Linked DNA regions of Oryzias latipes. The protein of the gene in region 1 purifies or fractionates together with the protein of each later gene. This does not show direct contact. Links are inferred from orthologs where the notes say so. Each region holds a gene or a part of one and is shown on either strand. Other genes may lie near its edges.

Region 1 (4,379 bases):
CCTATGGTGTGTGGAATGTAACCCTTGTGCTATCCTAGGCACTTTAACATTGGGAGTTGGGTCATCTAGACCCACTAGACAGTGCTCTTAACCTTTTTTCTTGAATGATTTGTGATCTTCACTGGTGTCCATGGATTACATGAAATCTTTCCACCTTTATCCACCTTTGTCATGGTAGGGAGAACACGTCAATGTAAGGGTGGGGTCATCTAGATAGCACAAGGGTTAAAGGGAAACCATAGTTTCTTAACTGTGTTTGTGGCTTTGCATGCTGGGAATAAACTTTTGATCTCATAGGATTCCAGTCCTTTCTTTATGTAGTAAAGTAAAAACATCATAAAAATGTTGTCAAATTGTTTGTTTCCCCACAAAAGGCTGGTAACAACCTCAAATTCCCTTATTTGTTTTAAATCAAGAGTCATCTTTTTTTTAAAAAAAACAAAGCCGCTTTACTTGAGTACAATTTTGGCAGCGCTATACTAGACCTTTCTCAACCAATTTGGTCTCCTCATAATAATTACTGAAAAAAATAGACTAATATCAACTGATGTTTTCTTTTAAAAACAAAATGTAACTTAAAGACAACATATTGTTAACCAGTTGCATAATTCGACATTGCTTATCACTAATTTCATCAAGGAATAAGCTTTGATGCAATTATTGATTATTTTTTTGCCTTTTTTTGCTGAATACATGATTGTATCCTCACAGTTTAAGCTTGCACACCTCCAAAAACAATCAGCTGTTATGATATGAATAGTTAACATAACCCAGACATTTTTCTATTGAATATATTTAAAAAATGGGAACAAAAACATATGTTATAGATGTGCAAAGCAGAAGTGCTTTTACAAATGTAAGGCTCAGTAACAAGACAGAAAATTCAAAAACAATCAAAGAAGGAAAGAGGAAACAAAGAGAGTAAATCTGTTTGTAGCAAATATTTCTGTATATAAGTCTTCAAAATAAGAGTATTTATCAAATTTATCTAAATGCACCATTGTCCACAAGATATCTCACAAAAGATTTGAGAATGTGTTTCCCATTTGTTATTTCTACATTTGTTTATATTATATTTTCATTTTAATCATATTTTAATTTTGTTTTTATGTTCTAACTTCCCCAAACATAATTAATAGACGCCAATCATTTAATAGACATTTTTTATATCCAGTGTCTTTCCATACAGTATGTGTACGTTTGTTATAGATACAAAAATTAATGTATACATAAATTTTTACAGTATTGAACCTGCCTGTGCAAATAAAATCCTTAAACCCATAAAGTCAAAACTTTTTATCAAATATTTTGAACTATATAACCAAAGAGAATCTTCCATGTGTTTCTCTCCACAGATGCCAGTCATTCCTCGGACGCGTTCCAACTTGCTGAAGCAGAAGCTGGAAAAAAATCCCTCCTCCGCCCTAATTTACGAAAATTGCGGACAGATGTTTGTCACTAGTTAGGGTGGAGTTGCGTGTTTTACGTTGAAACGTCCACATCCTGTTCTTGGTGAAATCAGACGACAGTCGCACGAGCCAATCAACTTTGAGGAAGTCTGCCAGCAGCCAATCGGAAGTTTAGAATTCCGGGACTTACTCTCCTGGTATCGTTCGACAGTTTACTGTACCGCTCAACTCTTCTGAAGAAAATCAGGAGACAGCACAATTTTTAGAGTGGATATAAAACGTGAAAGTGCCATTTCTGCGGGTAAGTGAAATATTTTCTTAAGAATAGTTTTCTTTGTAAAGTGACGGGGGTAGATATTTGTTAGTTTGACTGTTTCCTCGAGATAAGAGTCGCCTACAAGTTACTTCCTGCTCTGACGAGGAGGCCGAGTTGCACTTAGCATGTTTTAGCTAATGTTGTGGGAATAAAAATACCTTATTTCTTATGGTTTATCCGAGAAAGCTCAAAACTCGACATTATGGTTATACTTACATTATTCTACTGGGGGAGGGGGGTTGTAAGGTACAACATCATGGGTTTCAGATAGCTAACTAAACATCTTGGCTTAGGTAGGAACGAACAATTCGGAGCATTTTCCGTAGAAACCTTGGAAATAATAAATACGCAGTTAGCCATGTAGCATTTAGACCGTGATACATGACTTTTCTTTTCTTTTTTTTTAAATGAAAGCGCCCACGTTGTTGTCAGTGTGAATGGAGCTCGACAGGGTGTAGTAGTTCTCTGAAGGTCTGCTGTCACTCACTGCAGATATCTCTGTTGACATTATCTTTACTTTTTCCGCGCGCTAAACTAAACTAAATAAGTCATAGGCATGATGTGCGCGCGCGCGGACGTTAACAACATTCACCATATAATGAAGAATTTGATTTCTGCTGCCTCAGTAGACAGTATAAAAAAGGCTTCGTAGTTCTTCATGTGGAACCTATTGAGTTCCCATAAGGCAGTAGTTAGAAATCTGTCTGGCAGGGTTTTGCTTCTGCTTTTTTTTTGTCTCTTTATTTTTATACATGTTGGCCTAAGCATGTGACCTTTGCAGAGTTTAGTTCAGAGTTTGGTTATTCATCTGTCTATAAAGGTCCTTAAGGGCCAGTTATCACTGCAAAACACAGAGATGGTTTAAATTCACATGCTTTGATGGAATTCTTTGTTCAAAATTGTATTCAAAAATATATATTTTTATAATAATAATAATAATAATAATAATACTAATGGATTGGATTTATCTGCACTAAAAGCTCTTACAATGTGTCCATTATTCATTCACTCGTCATTCATACGCTTTTCTACACCAGTGGAGCCCCACTGGAGGCAGGGAAGGGGAAGTGTCTTGCCCAAGGACACAATTATAGTTGACTGGAGGGAGCGGGGATCGAACCGCCGACCTGCTCCACCACCAGAGCCACTGCCTCCCATTTGGCCTCCCTTTGGTTTTAAAAACAGTGTGTACTTGCATAGTGACTTCAACTTAAAAAAGGGAAACTTTCACCTACCAACGTGATGAATTCCTACAATGAAAAATAGAGGGGATCCGATTGTTGTTGTTTTGTTTTAGGTTTTTTTTTTTTATAAACCTACCCTTCTACTGGTCTGCGTACTCATTTCTCCCAGGTTGGTAAAAAAAATAATAATAATTTCGTTGCATCTCTTCTTACGCCTAATCAAAGCCAGAATTTTTGGCTTTGAGTCCATTAATGAAGAAAAAAACAGGATTGTTTCAAATGTTTTGAATTAAAATCTTCTCTTCTTTAGGCCTAAAAGTAGGATCAGATTTGGCCTTTAAAAACCCACTTTGATCAATTGTAAAAAATGTCGATTTTATTGTCTGTCACAAAGACGATCTTTTTCAAACAGCATTTTTTTGTTGTTGTCTGCTCCTGATTCATAATCATTTGGATAAAGGAAAACTGAGAAACACAACTTTATGCTTAATTTACTTAATATACGTTCTCAATCATCAGAAAAATGAACACATTAAAAACAGCAAAAACACAATTTTCATTAAGTGGGTCTTAAAAAGGAGAGTATTTCAGTCTGAAAATAACTGTGCGTTTACATCAGTATTTCAGGTCATAGATCTTGTATCCAATTTTTTAACACTATTACTAACATTGTCAATAAAACAAAGAAATTCCTCTCGATTAAAAGGGTTGCACCAACTTAGAATATATTTTTTCTCAAACCCCAAAATGCCCACATAGGATTTTCCAGTGAACATTGTCTTTGCATTGTGCTGCAGCTGTTCATAAATGTTAGACATGAATCTTTATTGGCTTTTCCTGATTGATGAGTTAAGAGTCTTTATTGTTAGAGAGGTACTTTAGTTCAGCACTGGCTGTTATAGAATGTGAATTTTTCATAGCTAACCATTTAACAGGATGCACAAACAGACGTGCAAACCAACCTGGTTGGAGGGTCCTCTCTAAACACTTTGGTTTTTTTCTTCCCTTTTTGAATGTAGTTCATTACTGAATCGTGTTTTGTACACATACAGGGTTTGGCCGTCCTACCTGCCGACCCCCACCATGCCTTTGGTGACTAGAAACATAGAGCCACGGCATGTGTGTCGCCAGACCATCCCATCCACCATCCGCAGTGAGCTGGAATGCGTCACCAATATCAGCCTGGCTAACATCATCCGACAGCTCGGCAGCCTCAGTGAGTATGAATGTGGAGCTGAGCAAAAATTGAGTAACATCTTGAGGCCCATTCTATACATTTGCTACAGTAAATGAATGGTTAAAGCCTTTTTAAAAGGATGATTTTTGTCTTAAGCTACATTCTTTGTTTTTTAAGGTAAATTTGCAGAGGATGTCTTTGGGGAGCTGTTTGTTGAGGCCGGATCTTTCGCTCTTAGAGTGGACACACTTGTCAAAAGAGTGGAATGTCTGCAGGTTAAAGTCACCCAACTA
Region 2 (3,772 bases), on another chromosome or scaffold:
TAGATTTATTATGCATCTGAATCTGACAGTAATGATTATAAACTTCCAGCAATTTGTTGCTTTATGATTTTAACCCCCCCCCCCACAGTCACCCTCCTACCCCCACCCCACCTCCCTTAAACCCCTTTTTCTTCTTCCCTTCTTTTCCATACGCTCCAACTATATATTTAATATAAATATAATTAATAGATAAAGTTTTGTCTAAATTACAAAAGGGGTTTATTCAAATATACACCTTGTGTGTCAGAAGATTCATAACTTCACGTTGTAACATTAAAATATGTCCAACACAAGAGGCCTTCGGCTCTCATCTGTTTGCTCAGCTGTTGGACAGGACAAGTTAGAAAATAAATAAATTACGGACAACTTTTTGTTCACTTTGAGACTGTTAAACAGAAAAAGAGGGCTGCTGATGGGCTAGGCAAAAAAATCAATTTTTCGATAAATTCGAATTTGTTGCAATTTATCTTGGGGGAGACTGGGATTGTGTTTTTCCAGCACTGATTTCTTGGGCTTCTGTTGTTTGGAATAAGGTCAGCCCGTCCGTTTCTTACGGAGCCCCTTAAGGGCCATTGAAAAAAAAAAATAAAAGGAAAAAAAAAATTGAAGTAAAAAGAAAGAAAAACTAACGGGTGCGCACCAGTTACTAGGTAATTTGTGCACGGAGAAATGTTTCCAAGTTACCTGGAAATGGCATTATGTGAGCTAATTGAGTTTTACTTTGCTTTTTGACTTGTCTACAAAGAGATTCCAGCTTTGCTAGCTTACCGTCACAATTACATCATCTCTGAACGTCATCTTAAATGGGTTTTAAAGTCATGTGGTTTGTTTCAAAAAGCTTTTAAAAAACTAAAGCCATTTGTTATTTGTATTAATGGCTGTTAGTAACTGGTGAAAAAAAATTTAAGTAAAAAAAACAAAAAAACAAACTGCACCCAATACTAACGGGTGCAGTTAGTTTTTTTTTTTTTTTTTTTGCTTCATAATCTTTCTTTTGTTCAATGGCCCTTTAGGGGCTCCGTAGTTTCTTGCCATACGCAGTCATTAAAATGGCAGCTAGCAAAGAGGAGCTTGTTCCCAAAATAGGAAGACTTTTTTATTTTTCCCCAGTTCTATGGTGCTGGTTGAGTTTTGTGACTTTAGACTTGGAGCAAGAAAACTGTTGGAAGGCTGTTGCTAGCAAAAGTGGGAGTATGAAACAAAGCTGTGAAACAGCCGGTCCAGTGCCTGGTCACTGCTCAGCTGAAATGCAGGCTGGTTCTGATCCAGTTCAAACATTGTTTTTTCTTTCAGTCTGTGCTTTAAAAACAATCAAACATAATGTTATGGGTCCAACTGCTCATGATTAACAACACTTTGAAGAAAGAAATACACAGAAATACATTTTTAAGCTTAACTTTCTTGATATCTTTCCTCGATTATGAGAAAATGTTAAAGGAACATGTTAAAAACACCATTTTCATTGGAGTGGGACGGAATTGTTGCCATGGATTAGCAGCCTTACACGAAGAACAAATCAGAAATTGTATCTCCATGCAAAATCAAATCATTATACAGGATTTATTGACATTTTTGAATTTTTCATGGATGAAAGTAGTGATGAATTTGCTTAAAAACTATCTGGCTGCTGTAACGCATTTTTCGTTTAACATTTGTAATAAATAATATAAATAGAAAATGAGACTTCGGTAGAATTTAAACTCTTGTCTCTGGAAACAGTGAGATCATTGCGACCGGCGCCCTCTGCTTCCTGGATGATAGCTAGCTTCGGTGCTCGGTACTGCGGGCGGAGAATCATCCAACATGGCTGGCCAGGAAGACCCAGTTCAGAGGGAGATTCACCAAGACTGGGCGAATCGAGAGTATATAGAAGTCATAACGAGCAGCATCAAAAAAATCGCCGACTTTCTGAACTCTTTCGGTAAGGTTTCGACCACCATCTTCGGCGTGAAAGCGTAGAAAGATGGCGATAGCTTGTTAAGCTAGCCCATGTTGATGTTTTTAATGGACACTCCTAGTTAGCAGTTAGCTTGCAGGCTAGCGGTTTACGAATTGAAATTTGGGAAGAGCAAAATAAAAGTTTAAATTATATCTCCGTCCAGGGTAGCTGTATTACATAACAGAATGAAGACTAAATTCCATGGGACTGTTACACTGTAAACCCGAAAAAGCTTCAAATGCTACTTTATTGTTGTCGTCACTCGACTGTTCGTTAGCAGCACCTTTAAAGGTTTTACCACATTTGAACCCAAACAGACATGTCCTGTCGATCCCGCCTGGCCACCCTCAACGAGAAGCTGACAGCGTTGGAGAGAAGGATCGAGTACATAGAGGCCAGAGTAAGCAGAACAGCCCTTCCGTGTTTCCCATTCTCAATGCTAAGCAGCTGCTACATATTTCTGTTTGTGAATGCAGGTGACAAAAGGAGAGACCCTGACCTAGAGAGGACCATGGATGGGACTTCATGTTCTCCCTGAATCTGTGTACCCATCCATCCACCACCCAGAGCTTTTGGACTGAGCGTTCTGGACTCCACCTTCCCTTTTTTAGGGGGGATCATCATAAGGACCATTTTTATATCTTGTGATTGACCTTTGTTGTGTTGTCTTCATGGCAGAATTTTGAACATAAAATGAGTCCATCTTTGGGGTGTGGCTGACTTCATTGTTATTTTTTAGAACAAAGTGGGAATCATCAAGTTTTGGTTTCAAAATGATATTCAGAAATGGACCTGCTCTAAACTTTAAGCATGCAGTGTCATAAACAAATCAGAGATTTATATAGAAAAATAGGGGTCAATTCTCATGTGCCAAGTTGAACAAGTAATTAGTTAGAGACCATTGAGGATATTTGTACAGCAAATGTTTCTGAAAATAAAGGCATTGCATTGTTTGGCTCTATTATGTTTAACTGGACTACAAAAGTCCTACTGATGTAATTATTAGGAAATGTATAAAGTTTAGTTATAAGAAACAAAATAATATTGTGCATATGGTAAGTTAGAACACGTTCATTTTGTTCACATCAATCACAGCAAACTAAGGGATGTAGGGGTTGTGTATTTTGAATTTTACAGTTTGAAATTATAGGTTTTCCTAATGTCCTTTTTTGATTCAAACTTTATGAAATAAGATTTTTTTTCTTGTTTGTTTCATGTTGGAAACGTGTAACAAATCTGTAAACTACAACTCCCAATTAAATTAAAAAAATGGCGGAAATTTGTTTGTTTTGTTACCCTTAATTCTGACTTGCAGGCCACAGAAATGGGAAGCATATTTTCTTTAAAATACAGAGGAAAAGGGTGGATCTATACAGGTTGAGGGGCCGGAAATGGGAGGATATGGAGGATGTTGGAGTGATCGAGGACGGGGATGGAAATGGACAGTTAGTTCCATGAGTGTGATGGAGGTCTGAAGATCAGAAAACGTTTGGGAGCACAGAGCAGAAAAGGTGGCTGTTGTTGTGAAGCATGACGTCACAAAACTCTTTAAATTTGAAATGGACTGAAGAGCGGCAGTTGGGCCCGACCACATACCTGTGAGGGTATATGGAAGTGTTTAGGAGAGGTGGCCGTGTGGCAGCAAACTTTTTCCACTGAGCTGTTTAGTGAGGTCTTATGAGAGGACGCCTGGGGAATGGGCGAGTGCTCATTTTTTAAGAAGAAAGCGGTCATGTTAAGTTTTTGAGACTTTAGAAGAATAAACCAGATCAGTAATGAACATTTGTGGGGGAGCCAGTTTAGCTCGTGCTGGTTTGCGGCGCCTTCCGTCCG

Evidence for each region.
Region 2: the proteins of wasf2 (region 1) and brk1 purify together in Homo sapiens (co-immunoprecipitation; 3 studies listed by BioGRID and IntAct, with this or other methods). This does not show direct contact. The link is inferred for Oryzias latipes from reciprocal best matches to the Homo sapiens genes WASF2 and BRK1.

The regions. Positions count from the first base shown.
Region 1 is NC_019869.2:21,800,304-21,804,682, reverse strand, and holds the start of wasf2 (wiskott-Aldrich syndrome protein family member 2), read left to right. Parts: upstream 1-1,579; 5' UTR 1,580-1,710; intron 1,711-3,961; 5' UTR 3,962-3,992; coding exon 3,993-4,125; intron 4,126-4,263; coding exon 4,264-4,379. UniProt on the Homo sapiens protein: Downstream effector molecule involved in the transmission of signals from tyrosine kinase receptors and small GTPases to the actin cytoskeleton. Promotes formation of actin filaments. Part of the WAVE complex that regulates lamellipodia formation.
Region 2 is NC_019863.2:7,144,530-7,148,301, forward strand, and holds brk1 (protein BRICK1), read left to right. Parts: upstream 1-1,298; 5' UTR 1,299-1,803; coding exon 1,804-1,921; intron 1,922-2,256; coding exon 2,257-2,339; intron 2,340-2,415; coding exon 2,416-2,442; 3' UTR 2,443-3,218; downstream 3,219-3,772. UniProt on the Homo sapiens protein: Involved in regulation of actin and microtubule organization. Part of a WAVE complex that activates the Arp2/3 complex. As component of the WAVE1 complex, required for BDNF-NTRK2 endocytic trafficking and signaling from early endosomes.